2 linked regions of the Oreochromis niloticus genome follow. The protein of the gene in region 1 interacts with the protein of each later gene in a biochemical or structural test. Links are inferred from orthologs where the notes say so. Each region holds a gene or a part of one and is shown on either strand. Other genes may lie near its edges.

Region 1 (8,145 bases):
AAACCTTTCCACCCTGCAGTGGATGAGTGGATAGATTATCACACTGAAAATTCAAAATAGCTTTTAAGGTTTTGCATCAGCTCTCATAAAAATACCTGATTAGCATTCCAACTAAGGAAACACTAGGTCATTTGCTGCCATTTTGACTGATCTTCAGAGCTTTAGTTTATAATCTTACACTACCAAGCAGTGAGAGATGGGTATACATTTCCAGCTATACCTCCTGTTTGGTGCCTGGGGATGAGAATGTTCATTTTGTTGCTTGGTTAGTTGGTTTTACTGTTTGAAGTCTGAAAAACTTGACAGCAAGCTAAAAACGCCTGTATACCTCTCACATACTGTATTATCTCACTGTTGTGGCTCATGTTATAAACAGATGCTACATCCAGGTGACACTGACCAACATTTCCACATATTTGAGTTTCTGCAGTCCTTTGTAGTCTTGTGACAAATATCAGAATTTTTAAGTAGATGCTATAGTTTCATTAGAAGCTAGTCGCTAACGTTGTAGTCTCTTGTTGGAGATAGTAAAACGGGTTCATCCGAAATGGACACACAACAAAACTTAAACTTGTTCAGTGCAATTAAGTTTATAGCAGATGATAATTCAGATTTCTCAAGGAAGATGGATCAGTTGAAATAAAAGCTACATTGGCATGTACTGGTGGTTGCACTGCAGGCTAACCTGCTGAACCTTTAAATCAAAAATCTGAACGCTGTATGATGCAATGCTTTGTTTCAATGCATTTTGTTGGCTTTGTGTTCAGCTCTTGGATAACCTTTAGAGTAGAGTTGTACAACTGAAAGTGGAAGACAGTTGTGTGCAGCAGTAGCATTAAACCACCACGTTTCATCTGGGCTTTTTATTCTAGCGCAGGCTTTATATTCATTAAAGACAAAAAGGTTATAATACTGTAAGATATTCACTTGTCACTAAAGTAAAACTACTTTTAACAGTAATCATGCTACTTTTATGAGTTTGACTTTAATTTTTCTGGTTACTGTTTTACACAATATTGACACATTTTGGAATGAAACTCTTATTTTAACAATAAATATGTCCTTCATGACGAAAATAAAGGTCTTTTTTCCTTAAGGTAATTCTTCTGTGTGTGGTTTCTTCTTTCTGTCACAGAAGATGAGTGTGGCTGGGATGTGCAGGTGAGTGCCAAAATGGTCTCATAAATCACTTTGCTGAGATTTCATAACACACTTTCCTATACAAAGATGAGCTGTGCGTTGATGGAACATGACCTGAGGCGTTGGCTGTTAGACTTGCACGCCTGCATGGCATTAACATTCATAATGCTATGCAGAAGTTTTTTGTTTGTTTGTTTTTTTATGAAGAGTATTCTCTTATCCAGACATTCATGATGTTCCCCTTTGACCAAATGAAGAGACTCGAACACAGTTCTCTCTTAAACTCTGTCCATCTACAGCTGAGTTTTTAAATTAAATATTTTGAGGTGCAAGTTGATCTGTTGTGTCTGGCATTTCTCTTTTTGTCTGGTAAATTCCTTCAGCTAGCCAATCACAGCCCAGCCTGAAACAGAACGCTGTATTATTGTGTAATTACAAGGAAATAAAAGGAACGTGCACTGAAATTGTTTTCTGGTGTGTTTCAGCAACCAGTGCCTAAAACAAGCCAAAGAGGTTCTTCACTTTGACCTTTTGACCTCCAACTCTTGTTCTTGGTGGATTAAATCAACCCAGAACATAAGCAGCGTAAAGATAGATAAGCACTGATGCTCATATTCACAACTACAACCACTTATTGTATTCGTTTGGACTGTGGAAGGAAGCCAGAGCACCTAGAAGAAGATCCATAGGGACATGGAGTTGAACATGCATACTGCACACAGAAAAGCCCCATCTGGCTGTTGGATTTGAACCCAGGACCTTCGTGCTCTGAGGTAATGGTGCTAAGCACCACACCACTGTTGCTGCCCTATGCGTATGATGCAATGTAAAAATGTCATTTCATATATGTTTGAAAAAGCAATAATTAAAAAAATGATCCTGCATTGACCTGATGCCCTTATGGCTATTTTTATTCTCCTATCACAGTTAACCCCGTTCTGATACTCAAGAATTTCTATTACTATTGTTTCCATCAAATTTTGCGCAAATGCAAATTATAGTAAGTTTGCTTGTGATTTCTTAGCAATCGACACTAATGAGTAATGAACCCAGTTGCTGTTCCATATCCTCATGACTTTTACCTCTGGCTCTGGTACCTGATGAGTTGTTTGAGATTCTGTCCTCTCAGTGTTCTGAGTGGCAATTAAGTGTTTTTAATATTCTTCGTATCATCTGAAATTTGCCACAGTTCACAATGTTTTTTGCACCTCAGCTTACATAAACAAAGTCATGCTAGCGCATAATGTGCAATCTCATTTGCACAAATGTTTCTTGTAAATTTGCTAATATTTTCCGCAGTGTTAGTAGCAGTTTGTGTAAGCTTCTCTTCCAGGCTTCAGCAAAGTAACATCTTTGTTTGAAGCAGGTGCTCATTTGGTTATTTTGATCTCACTTCGGTGCCACACCCAGTGAACTCAAGGAGGCTAACCAGGTGTTTATTCATAGAATAGCTTTCTAAAAAAAAAAAGCCAAAAAAAAGCATTAGAGTAGTTCAGAATAAATGAAAGCAAGAGGAAAAAACTGAAGTCTACAAAACCTTCATTGGTGCACTCTTTTATCTTAACATTATGCGCCAAAAAAGCATTAGTGCTTCAAGTTTTTAAAGATAATTTTATTTGGTGTCTTGTGTGACTTTATACATCTGCACTTGACTATAGTTGTATTAAACTGGAACCAACACAGTCTTGTATCCCTACATGTTCAAATGTGTCCACTTGAACTCATTTCCACTTGAATTTATTTAAGAATTTTATACACCTGCTTATTGAAATTTTGAGTAAAACAATCAAATTGTCCCTGGTGAGTTTGGTCTAAGGTATTTATTCATTACCATACAGATTTGAGCATTTATGCATTACTTTTAGCCTTTTCAACAATTTAGACTTATGCTTATACTATTTAACTTCTAAATGCAGTTTAAACATTACTGAAATATTTTCTGCTTACAATATATATTTGTCATGGTTCTGGGTCTGTGACCCAGCTTTCTGAGTTTTGCCGTGTTTTGAGTTTTCTGTGAGCTCGTTTTGTTTTGGATTTTGAGATACAGTTTATGTTCTAGCTCTGCATCTAGTCCTTTCAGCATAATGTTTCCTTGTGCTTCTTAGTTTCCCTTTGTTTCCAGTCTGTGTTTCTCATAAGATTATGTCATCTTTTGTTATCATCTTTTGTGTTCCCTTTCTCCTCAGTCAGTCATGTCTCTGCATTTATCTCCTGCCGCTGTGTGAAGTTCACGTGTGTTGGTCTCAGTGTTTGTTGCTTCCTGTTTTATTCTGATAGTCACTCATCTCCTCTAGGTTGTGTTATTTTTGCTTCCCATTGTCTCCTTAGATTCCATTCAGCTGTGTTCCCTGGTGTTTCCTATCTCCATAATTACCTGGTGTGTATGTTGCCTGACTTTCCCTTTGTCTTCTGCCAAACTGTGTGTTTCTTCCTCCTGTGTCTCAAAGTTAGGTTTCTCTCTTTGTTCATTCTTCGTGTTACGATTCTTAGCAATAAAGCTGCTTTTGAGTTTTACATCTGGCTTTCTGAGTCCTGTGTTTGTGTCCAACCCTGCCTGCCACACAGCAATATTTTCTCCGCTATTATGTTCAACTAATAATTTTTCAGTAATGGTTAGGTCTTGTAATAATTCATCAATAGCTTTTGGCCTATAGTTTAATCATTCATCACTTTATCTGCTTCTACTGTGTGGAGATACTATTAGTTATTACTGTTATTAATAGAATTGTTTAATTACGAGAAAATATTCATCCAGTTTTCCCAATTACTCATCAGCTTTAATCATTTCTGCCTCCCTTGTTTATAAATAACTTTCAATGAATTAAAAATGGTTTTAATTTTTATTAATTTGTATTATTTTCTTTCTTACTCCTTAAGTTCATTCGTGTTGCTATCACAAACAAATGCTCACCATTTTTGTTTGTAATAGTTTATTTGCACTACAATCATCAATAAACAATTGAAATTAAGTTCCTGGAGATAGAGTAGATAAAGGCTGACTTGTTTGTCCCAATTCAACAAAAGTTTGGCTATGACAGCGTCAACTTCTGGGTTTTCTCATAAAGTCCTACAGTATAACTGATCCAGTGTCATAGCAAAGTATTGAAATTAAATTACAGAATAATTACAGAATAAAGATAGTAAATGAATAGCCCAGAGTTAATAAGAAATAAGGTGCTTCTCAAAATAAACAGCAAAGAGGAGTTCCTCTTCCGTTAACTGAGATAAGCTTTCACACTGAGGAAGGCAAGAGCTGACATCTCTGTGCATGTCGCTCTAAACCTAAAAGCAAATGAGAGCTTTGAAAAATGTGAAAACAACTTCATCATCGTGCCAACCCGTTTCTTTTATTGACACGCCAATCAGACGCACCTAAAATGTGTTTCTCTCGCAGTCCCTCTGGCTGAAAACAGCAGGGTGCCAGCTGGCGTCTCTCCACGATGAGCTGACACAAGAATGTAAACAGACCAGAGTGGCCAGCACGACTTCACAACCTGATGAAGCTGACACCTTGAAAAACTGGGTTCACTAACCAAAATATAAATGTGATCTTATGAAGCAGCTGATGACAGGCGTGATTTTAGATGTGCTGAAATAGCTGAACTATATATTTCTTTCTTCCCTCTATCCATTATAACCGCTTGGATTTTTTCCCCCGTAGGCTAAGGTATGGCAAGTGTCCACACCTTGCCAGGTTCAATTAACTCCCACGTTTCACTGAACAAAACACTTATTATACTCTGCTGTGATCCCTAAATAAGAAATTCCATGCCGGCTACAAACACCCTTTCAGTCTGAGATCACGTCAGTCTCTCCTCCAGCCGAGCAGGTTCCAGGGTGGCTCTCCTGTCTGCTCACTGGTGACTACCCAGCTGCGCTCTGCGGTATCCGAGGAAACACTGGAGGTTTCCCCGTACGCGCTTGTGCATTGAATTTTAGTCACGTCCAACAAAAAGGGCAGGAATAACTTCACTATACAGGACTCTGAGAGAAAAGACCCCGTCCTCCCAGTTTGCATCCACGCCTCCCTCTCTGCTTCCTATATTATCTTTTTTTTTGTCTGTTTCAACGTGCTAATCTCTCCAAACGTGAGGACAGCATGACAGGAGGACTGAAGGACGGCGAGACAGAAGAGGTACAGTATAGCTCTCAGCTATAGTTCTTTTAATTTTTGGTTGTTTGTTTGTAGCTGACATTTACTTTTCTTCCAGGAGCTGATTACCCCCCCTCAAAAAAAAAAAAAAAAAAAAAAAAAAAAAAAAAATGCGTTCACGAGGGAAAAATGAATGCGCTATGTTTCAGTCCTTATCTTGCGCTCTGGCACCCAGTCATGAGCACTTCTCCCACACAGGCTAAGAGAATGACAAGGTCGATGCAGTTTACATTAGAATGTGGGTGTGAGGATTTTACCTGCTAAGTCCTCTTTCAGCACAGTAACCGATTATTTACGCACAAACATTTAAAGTGTACATTTCAATGCGTTTAAAAAAGGAGGAAACAAATCCAGTTTTTACCGTAAAATTCTGAATTTCAGTCACAAATCTTCCCTGTCCTTTAATACCAACTGAGATCGTGTGGTGTGCGTAATAATATAAGGTGCTTGCCTCGTAGGATTGAGGAGGATCATAAGCGCTAAAGGGGTCTTTACGTATTTTTAAAGGATAAAAACACAAGTCCAGTAAGTTATTGCATACTTAATGTGAACATATTACAAATGACATTGCAAATATAACTGAATTCGTGATTTTTCTTTTACTTTCTAAATATATATTTTTGGTGTAGGAAGAGTATTAATTGGAAATTCTTTCATATTTAAAAATAACGCCTTTGCACCTTTCTTAAAAGTGTTTCATTGTCATGGGTAGACTACACGTTGAATCAACTGTATGTCATGTTAACATACTGGATTAGTGTCTGGGTGGTGAGGACCCCTTGCGGCTGGATGAAGGGGTGTGGTACTTTACTTTCTATTCACTTAAACCCATCCCTGTTTGTGGGGAAGCCTGGTAACTTGCAGCTCCAGTCGCTCTCTCTCTCAGCGCGCTACACACTATTCCTTCTCCTCTTCACCCTCTTCTCCTTCTGTCTCCCCCGGATCCTTGCAGGAGTTTCTGCATTCGCCGTTTATCCGAAAACAAGGGAACATATATAAACCCAACAACAAAGACATGGACAACGACAGTCTCAACGAGAAAACGATGGAGGATGTCCACACCAAAGAGATCGACCTGGTCAACCGGGATCCCAAACACATAAACGACGACGTTGTTAAGGTGAGTTAAACCTCAAAATTGGTAACTTGTGAGATTCATGTTTTTTCGTCCATGGCAACCGAAACCACCTGTTGCCGAGTTTACACAGGGCTTAGCTGTATGACAGGCGCTGTAAACTGAAATAATCTCTGATAAACGATGTCCATTTTATTTCTATGAGCTGTCAAACAGGTTATCTGCGCGTCGGACACGCATGCAGTTCTTTTGCGCACCTTTGCTATGCTCCGTGCAAGTGTTACCACTCAGTGTCTTCCCCTATTAGGAAGAAGCTTTGCAAACGTATTAAAGATCATTGAGCGGCGGCGATACAATGGCATGCAGTGCCCTTCTGCACATTTGTTTGTGGAGTGGGTTTGAAACGTGAACGTCCCAACTTCGCTCCAACAGAGGAAACATAACCAATTTCCTGTTGTTGGAACACACATTTCCCACAGTCCTCCCTGCACACGCCTGTCTAATGGGAAAGTAGAATTCTGTACATAACAGAGAAGCCTGGTCGGATAAATACTCAGTATTTATTTTTGTTAAAAGGATTTAGCACAGGGAGAGATGTTATAGCGGCAAAGGAGTGGTGCGCTGCAAGCCACCTGACTCATCTGTGTGGGAGAGAGGAGCTGCAGCCGTGTGCGCCCGGCGGTGCTCCTCTCCAGCTGGTGCATCTGGTTACATCAGAGTGGGGTCAAGCAGCTCCCTGCGTGTTCAGGAAGGGTCAGATCTTTGAAATGCCTGAACTCTGCTTTGTTAAAACAGGGAAACACCCAAGTGGGCGATTAGTCTGAGGGGATCCCTCACCACTCCTTATCCTCCCTTCTTTCCTCCCATTCTGCCACTGCCCCCTCCGTTTCCTCCCCGCATGCCTGTAGTTGCGTCAGAGAAGTGAGTCCATTTGTTTCTTTTTCTTGGCGAATACAAGGTTTTCAGTAGAAATGAGTGCCCATCGCTGCTGAATTAACTAATCAGACCATAACTACTGAACATAACCTTTCTCTTTAAAAAAATACATACATGTGGTAAAGTTTCATCCCCTGCCAAATTGACTGATGAAAACATACTGACAGAGCATTTTGATTAAAACAACTATAATGCACATATACAAGGAATGCATTAAAAATGTTGTGCTCATTTAATTTTCTGTTATTACATGACACTCATTTCACATACAACCTGCCCAAAAAAGTACATTTTGTCTTCCATTTCTCGTTAAATATTTGAAAACACTTCGTTTTTATGGAATTTATCACTGTCTGAGAGGCATGTGTGTCACTGCCAGTTTGTGCATTTTTCCCATATGACGCACAAGTCTACATAAAATGTGCTATGAACATGATGAATTTCCATTTTTGTACGAGAAAGGAAGCTTTTTCAAAATATTTGTTGCTGGGTTTGGAAAGAAAAAGTCTCTTATTCTCTAGTTTTTCTGGTTGCTGCTTCTATCCCAACGTCTTCCACCACTCTCTGGCTGCTCTCTCCCTGCTCTCCTCCATTGTGACAGTGAGTCAGACTCTCCTTCCAGTCTCAGAATAGAATGCAGCTTCACGATTGTCCCACCCCTCGCTAATCAAGCCAACAGACTGCTGCTGAAATGACCTGACAACACATGTGCGTACACTGTAAAAATGAACATGCTATAGGCAGCATTTAACGTGAGAAGCCTGAAACCTTCAGCTTTTAACAAGCGGTAGTAAACATCTATTTACAGTTTCTTTTGCATTTTAGTTGCTTTATATTG
Region 2 (7,654 bases), on another chromosome or scaffold:
TCTAAAATGAAATGAAAGGTCTCGTTCCATTTTGGGTTGATGTCGTTGTCTATGTGCTTGGTCCTCTTTCTGCTTTCAGGGGCCGTCGGGATGAAAAGCTCCACATATGGGTCTGGAGTGTCCACTGGGCGCACAAACAAGTTCAACAGGGTTACTACACAGCTGAAAACCAAACTCAAAATAACCATCATCAAGTGCTTTTGTATTTCTTTTACTGTAAATTTACATGGATTACATTCCAACAATATGAAGTAAAAGCATGGTAATATGTTACTGTAAGGAAAAAATTATATAAGCACTTACGCAGGTCGCCCAGCGCTCCCTTGGTGACGTTCTGAGCTCGAACTACAGTCACTGTGAATTTGTGAGAAAACTGCTGCTCCACCTGCAATTTGGACATTCAGAGTTCAGCCTCACTTCATTGCTTCATGAGAAAAAAATCACATCAACCATGTTGAGAGCAAAAAATGAACACATCCAGAACATGAGAACATCTGGGTTTTTTGGCAGGTCGACACAGAGTGCCATTCCCCTGTGAAACTCTCCAGTTAAGGATACGCTTCCCAGCTGTGTTCACACTGTGCTACGACAGCTTTCTCCTTATATTTTGACAGTACTGCAAAATTTGTAGCCCTTTCCCAAATACTGTGACTCTAATAAATACTGTAGATGAGCATTTAATGGGACCGTACTGTAAACCCTTTATATATTTTACAGCAACCCTTTCACCTCAGTTACCCTTGTGCTACATTGTCGTATCCCTGAAAGTTTGGTAGCACACTGAAATGAAAGTTAAAGTATTGGACACTGTTCAAATACGACTACTTGAAGGTCCCAACAGTGTTCCCTTTGTCATTTCTAGATATTAGATCTCTCCAATCTCACAGAACAGATGTTGTTTTGAATTTCTGCGTGTTGCAGTGCAGTTTGATATTGTGACTATTTAAGATTCCTCTTTCTGGCAGCCTTTTACACACTCTTAAATTATTTTTAAAAACCCAAAAGACGAATAGTTTCAACGACGATTTGCAGATCTGTAAAACAGGAAGTGCTGTGAGACTTTTTTGCAGCTCCCCTCTCGCCCCTTCTTGTTAAAAGGCCGCTTGTTCAGTTTTTCCTCTACAACGCTGTGAGCTTAATTATTTTATGATTTATGATTATGGTACTAAATAAATGAAATTTAACTGGAATTACGTGATAAAAACTCAGACGTCACACTGATCAAACAATATGCATATTTTTCTTTTAAAACAACCCTTTCAACCTTGACTTCCACCAACATGGAAATGAAAATGGCCTTGACGTTGACACGCTCATTGTTGCGCTTACACCCAAGGCTGTGGCTTGCGATAAGAGGGAATTTTTTTAATACCAGTAAACTAAGAACTTCCACAGAATTATTTGTGTCACGGTTGATGCCAAAGAAACCGTCCACTTTTGTTTTGGCCTCAGTTTTATTTACAGTCATGTAAACACACACTGTGTCGACACTCACAATTATATTGGAAGCCATTGTCATGTGAGGTGAGCAACTCGCAGGGAAGCCTTCGTCAAGATGTGAACTTTAGGTCAAGAGAACATATCTGTCACAAACTGCAGCACCGAGAGCCTGAAATATGAAACAAAGAAGTGCAAACAAAGGGTTAGAGTTTGAACGGGCTGAAAAAAGAATATTATGTTACTATTAAAACTGTGATGCAAACGACAACAAAATACTAACATCATTACCGCGATTTACAGCTTTAGTTTTAGCCAGAGTTGCAGCAAATGGACATATTACAATATCTCTTGAAAGGATGCCTTTCCTAAACAAAACACTTTTTTTATAGTGCATTGGAATTTTTAAAAATAAGTCGCTTCGCAAATACCAGTGAAGTCTTTTACATCTTGGCAGGGGTAAAAGGAAGTGTGCTGAGCCACAAAATCCCGATAAGAGGACTGGGCCAATAGAAATGGGGTGTGTGTGTGTGTGTGTGTGTGTGTGTGTGTGTGTGTTCACCACAAGCATGTGTTAAGAGAGCGAGAGAAAATATGCCAGTAAAGGGAGGAGGGTCTTCCCTGAATAAATGCAACATGCTGGACGACAAAATGTAAAGCTTAGTGCGCATTTGCAGAATAGGTGGCAAGGTGGCTATTTTTAGCAACGCGAACGCCTTCTCTTTGTGATGTCTGAACACCATATCGTGATAAGAAATTTGCATAGATATGTGTATGTCTATGTGTGTGAGTGCGAGTGTAAAAGTGATAGCATATGAAGGTCACCAGCCTTTTCTCTGCTGCTCACCAAAGTGTGTAATTACTGAGAGGACTGAGAGCACGTAGAGCGTCTGTGTGTTCACAGAAGCGGTCACGTACTTTGCATCAGTGGTCCAACTTCGGACGGTGCCAGTTCACTCTGCCCTTGTTCCGCTGCTGCATACAATGGGCGCATGCAGGCTACAGAGCCCTGCAAGTGTGCCAGCTTCAGCAAAGCGCCGCGTGGCAGCAAATTTTCATATGAGGATGCAGAACGCGAAAGAGACTTGCAGCGACGGTCTATAATGCAAAACAGCTGCCGCAGCTGTGGCTTTCACCGGAGCACAGTCAGGCTCCTCCTGGGCGAGTGTGCTCCCACCTGAGCCACACAAGGAGCAGGTCGGAAGACTCACTTCAGTGAATCACTGTGCGTGTCTCCAGAGAAAGATTACGCCGAGGAGTCATTGCAATTTAATTCTTATACGGATTAGAGGCTTCACGCAAAACTTAGCATTAGGCACTGCTAAGAGGCTTTACATTATTCTTATTAGCCCGGCAGATTAAGGGCAGATCAAACAAGGATTGATGATGTTATGAGTGCGCTACATGCGATGCTGAGTAATGTTAGTCCTTCTAAGGCAGTAAAGATGTGGTGGATACTATGAATTTGCATTTATATAAACATGACACATGATATAAAATATCTATGAAGGTAGAATAAACATAATAATAATTCGCAAAAGTTCCGTTTTATTCAGTTTTACTTGTGTATCCCTGCAGTGATCGGTCCTATTTAAACTGGCCTGTGAGTTTCCTTGTCTTCGGCGTCGCGTAAAATTTAAGCCTTGGCTGTTTAACCCATTAGGAGCAAAGGCGCAGACCTCCTCCTTTAAACTGCGCCCAAACCCGTTTGAAAAAACACATCAATGTGCCTAAAAAGGAAAGGAAATATCCACGTACCTTAACAGGCGCATGCTATCAACTCACAAATCCAGAAAAATGTCTCATGTCGATAACACCAATAGCTCGGGAGGTGGAGAGGAGGCGCTACCGTACCCGGCAGTGAGCAGTATCGTAGCTTATTACGTTTGCATCGAGAGAAAAAAACAAAACTACCGGAAGACAATAAAAATATAGCGGGGTTTAAATGCTGGTTTTAAAAAAAGATGGTCAAGATTCTTTTAATAGGAAATTTCCGAGTAGCAGTCAGACTGACTCCGATTTTGAGACTTGATCCAAATATGCACGATCATCAACCGCAAGGTGGCATCTGTGGTTGAAAAAGTTTCTGAATGAAATGAACGTTTAAACGGAGGTGCCATGCGACTTTTTACTGGTTTAGGTGATGATTCATTTAATTCAGTGAAATTCAATGAAAAAAAAAAGAGTTTTATATGTTCACTTTTATTAAACATCTCCGGGAAAGATTCTCAAACTTGTATTTTTTTTAATATCAATCAAAGAGTACTCGAGTATTTTTACTTATCATTTCTCCATGTTTGTTCATACGATTTGTAGAGGCTAAAGATATCAAAAAAACCCCAAGCGTGTCGTGGTAATACGTTATATAAACCAGTAAATATTATTAGACTTTAATTAAAATCACAGCGTGGCGTTTTAATGGCGACAAAAAAACCCCAAAAGACGCATACAATTAGTTAATTTACCTGCTGTAGCACTGAAGGAGTGAGGATAGAAAATAAATATTCCGTAGATAAGAAAACTTGTTTCTTCCAAAAATGATTTCCGGTATTTCCTCAAAAAAAATAAAAAATAAAAAAATAAATAAAGTAAAATAAAAGGATTGCCTACATTTAAACTGTTGTAAGTTACTTGTTGTCCTATAACAGACGTCAAACTTAACTCTCTTGAAAGATATAAAGTTATTTTGACGCAAAAAGGAATGTTCTGCATTCACTTTTTAGCAAAGTGGTTTTTATATATCCGTCTTTGATCCGGCTAAAAGTCTCATTGTCATTAAAAATGTCTTTTAAAGAGTGATGTGGCCAAGAGTGCATCAGAAATTACAACACGTATCACATATTGGTTCTATAAAGATATTTTAAGTGGACAAAAAGGAATGAAACGATTATAGTGTGGGTACAGTAACCCAGAGTCATAAAGACACTCGCAAAACAGGTGATTTATGTATTTTATATACAGCCCCTTCATAAACCCTGCTCACTAATATAAGCAAACACATTAATATAATAAAATAAACCAAAAAATCACTTTTGTCACAGTTTGTGGGTGGGGTGGTAGGAGGAGCACCGTGTTATAAAAGCCTCATCCTGGCTGTGGACATTCAAAATTTCACCATCGTCGCGCGCGAGTGGGAGAGCAGACATGAAACAAAAGCGGAGTCTTCGGAGCATGAACAAACTCACTTTGCTGTTTTTCCTGTTGGCCCTGTGCTTTCTTGTCGGCGAAACTGGTAAGCTGAGGAAACTGCAGATTATTTCTTACAGTTTTTCCATTTTATTTTATTGATACAGCCCAAATCACAGCAACAGTTTAGAAGTCGTGATTTCTTTCTATTAGTATTATTGTCATGCCAAATAAGATCTTCTTCTTATTCTTCTTGAGAACTGAATAATTATTTTTTTATTAAACAGATAGTAAGTGTCCAACCTTATCTGTTACAGTTAACCCATGTTGCTCAGAGCCATGCCAGAACAGGGGTGTCTGCTCACCACTGGGCTCAGAAGAATACGAGTGTGACTGCACACGCACGGGGTACTATGGGCAAAACTGCACAACACGTAAGTGTGAACATCGCGCTTGGAGTGAAACAAAAATGAAGGTGCATTTCTGGTGGTGACTTGATGGCTTGATTCACGTGCTCTCTTTGTCCCTTACAGCTGAATTCTTCACCTGGATCAAAGTGTCTCTGAAGCCAACACCCAACACAGTCCACTACATCCTGACCCACTTCAAGGGTTTCTGGAACATCGTCAACAGCATCTCATTCCTCAGGGATGTCATCATGAGATATGTGCTGACATGTAAGTCTCTCTCTGCCCGAAGGCAAAAATGAAAAAAGTGGACTGGAAAGTTTTTCACAGTACATTAAACAATTTACGCAGCAACTTGTTGTAGTGTTTATACTAAATGAAGGACTAATATGGGTTTTCCTTTCTCTAGCCCGATCCCACTTGATTGACAGTCCTCCAACTTATAATGCTGATTACGGCTATAAGAGCTGGGAAGCCTACTCCAACCTTTCCTACTATACACGCTCCCTCCCCCCTGTGCCGCAGGATTGCCCAACCCCTATGGGAGTAGTAGGTGAGTACACTGTCTACCTTTGGAAAACCAGTTTTCTGAGATTCTTAAGATACTGAACAAAACCGTCTTTGTCGAATTACATCATAGGAAGCGCGCAAATTGGAATTAGTTTTCCTCTTAGATGAGGCAACACAGAAAAACCTCCCCCTACAAGCCCAAACCAAAGAGATCAAGTTATTTTTTGCGTCAGAAGTATGAAACAGACCCAAAGAGCTGTGATTTTCCTATCATTGTGTTATGTGCTCAGTGAAGTCTTCTTATTCTTCCAGGCAAAAAGGAGCTACCTGATGTTAAAGTTCTGGCTGAGAAGCTCTTAATGAGGAGACAGTTTATACCAGACCCGCAGGGCACCAGTTTGATGTTTGCCTTCTTCGCACAGCACTTCACCCACCAGTTCTTCAAATCTGACATGAAGAGAGGGCCTGCTTTCACTGTTGCTAAGGGTCATGGGGTAAGTGGAGCGGGTCTGAAGATCTCGGTTTTTGAAAAGCAAACTCATTTTAATGCGACGCAGTTTTTAATTGGCGTGTCTTACACTTTCAGGTGGACCTCAACCACATCTACGGTGACAACCTGGAGAAGCAGCACAAGCTGAGACTCTTTAAGGATGGCAAGCTGAAATATCAGGTATGGGGGAAAAAGATAGCTGTACTCGAGGCGTCAAAGAGACCAGCTCACGTGCGTTTCTCACAGCGGTTTCCTCTTTTGTGTAACCCTGCAGATGCTTGATGGAGAGATGTACCCCCCGACAGTTAAGGAAGTGGGTGTCGAGATGCATTACCCCCCTCACGTCCCAGATTCTCACCGCTTCGCTGTCGGCCACGAGGCATTCGGCCTGGTCCCTGGTCTGATGATGTACGCCACCATCTGGCTCCGCGAACACAACCGTGTGTGCGATGTGCTGAAAGAGGTCCACCCATACTGGGATGACGAAAGACTCTTCCAGACCGCACGGCTCATCCTAATCGGTAAGTTAAAAGAAGTCCAGATACCAGCTGTAACGTAGTTGGAAATTTTTTATTAAAAAGCTAATAATAATATCGTTAGCAGGGGATTTTTCTTTAAAAAAAGGAAGTTTTACTTCTTAGTTTTCACCTCCTAATGACCCTGTTGCACACAGTGGAGCATTTCATTTCAGGAACCTGATTTACTGAAAGACTTGAGAATTTCTTGTCAACATCAGAAAGAGGAAATGTGTTTTACTATCCACTTTGTGCTTACCCAACCTACAGACATGCAAATCAATCAATCAATAAGCACGATTTATTTTAAAGCACAGAGTGGCTTTTAGCATTTAGAGTGTCTTCATTGTATAAACCGTCACATTTCTCATCTGGCAGGTGAGACCATCAAAATCGTGATTGAGGACTACGTGCAGCATCTCAGTGGCTATCACTTCAAACTGAAGTTTGACCCTGAGCTGCTCTTTAACCAGCGCTTCCAGTACCAGAACCGCATTGCATCCGAGTTCAACACCCTTTATCACTGGCACCCTCTGATGCCTGATAGTTTCCACATTGAGGAGACAGATTACAGCTACAAGCAGTTTGTCTTCAACACCTCTGTCGTGACTGAGCACGGCATCAGCAACCTGGTGGAGTCGTTCACCAATCAGATTGCCGGACGGGTAAGAACTCTTTAAGCTCCCGCAGCAGCAGTTAGACTGAAACATACAAGACCAGCGTTGCTTTAGGGATGCAGAATTGAAATTTCATTTGTGCTTCTTTGTAATTTAGGTTGCTGGTGGTCGAAATGTCCCCGGACCCATCTTGTATGTGGCCATTAAGTCCATAGAGAACAGCAGACAAATGCGTTACCAGTCCCTTAACGCCTACAGGAAACGATTCTCCATGAAGCCCTACACGTCTTTCGAAGACCTGACAGGTGAGACAAATTCAGCACTTCTTGAAAATACCTGTATGCTGAAAATGTGTCAAAAACAGGTTGTTGTAATTGCTGTCTCAGGCCTAGCTATTGCTAGATTAATATCTTTGCAGCGCGATGATTCTTATTATCATAAAGTGTGACTGAAAAACCCGTAGGCTGCAGAATACAGTTTATGCAATAGTTTACCTGATATTGAGGAAATGCCTCAGAGTCCCTAAGCAGTTGCTGGCAGTTTTGAAGGTTA

Evidence for each region.
Region 2: the proteins of cav1 (region 1) and ptgs2b form a complex in vitro, tested with the Homo sapiens proteins (2 studies listed by BioGRID). The link is inferred for Oreochromis niloticus from reciprocal best matches to the Homo sapiens genes CAV1 and PTGS2.

What each region holds. Positions count from the first base shown.
Region 1 is NC_031972.2:41,353,851-41,361,995, reverse strand, and holds the start of cav1 (caveolin-1), read left to right. Parts: upstream 1-4,952; 5' UTR 4,953-5,242; coding exon 5,243-5,278; intron 5,279-6,248; coding exon 6,249-6,416; intron 6,417-8,145. UniProt on the Homo sapiens protein: May act as a scaffolding protein within caveolar membranes. Forms a stable heterooligomeric complex with CAV2 that targets to lipid rafts and drives caveolae formation. Mediates the recruitment of CAVIN proteins (CAVIN1/2/3/4) to the caveolae.
Region 2 is NC_031981.2:2,447,023-2,454,676, reverse strand, and holds the start of ptgs2b (prostaglandin G/H synthase 2), read left to right. Parts: upstream 1-4,520; 5' UTR 4,521-4,581; coding exon 4,582-4,669; intron 4,670-4,880; coding exon 4,881-4,997; intron 4,998-5,096; coding exon 5,097-5,240; intron 5,241-5,379; coding exon 5,380-5,523; intron 5,524-5,792; coding exon 5,793-5,974; intron 5,975-6,066; coding exon 6,067-6,150; intron 6,151-6,244; coding exon 6,245-6,491; intron 6,492-6,863; coding exon 6,864-7,150; intron 7,151-7,259; coding exon 7,260-7,407; intron 7,408-7,654. Other genes in the region: pla2g4ab (cytosolic phospholipase A2), read right to left, coding at 1-124, 304-385, 1,496-1,519. UniProt on the Homo sapiens protein: Dual cyclooxygenase and peroxidase in the biosynthesis pathway of prostanoids, a class of C20 oxylipins mainly derived from arachidonate ((5Z,8Z,11Z,14Z)-eicosatetraenoate, AA, C20:4(n-6)), with a particular role in the inflammatory response.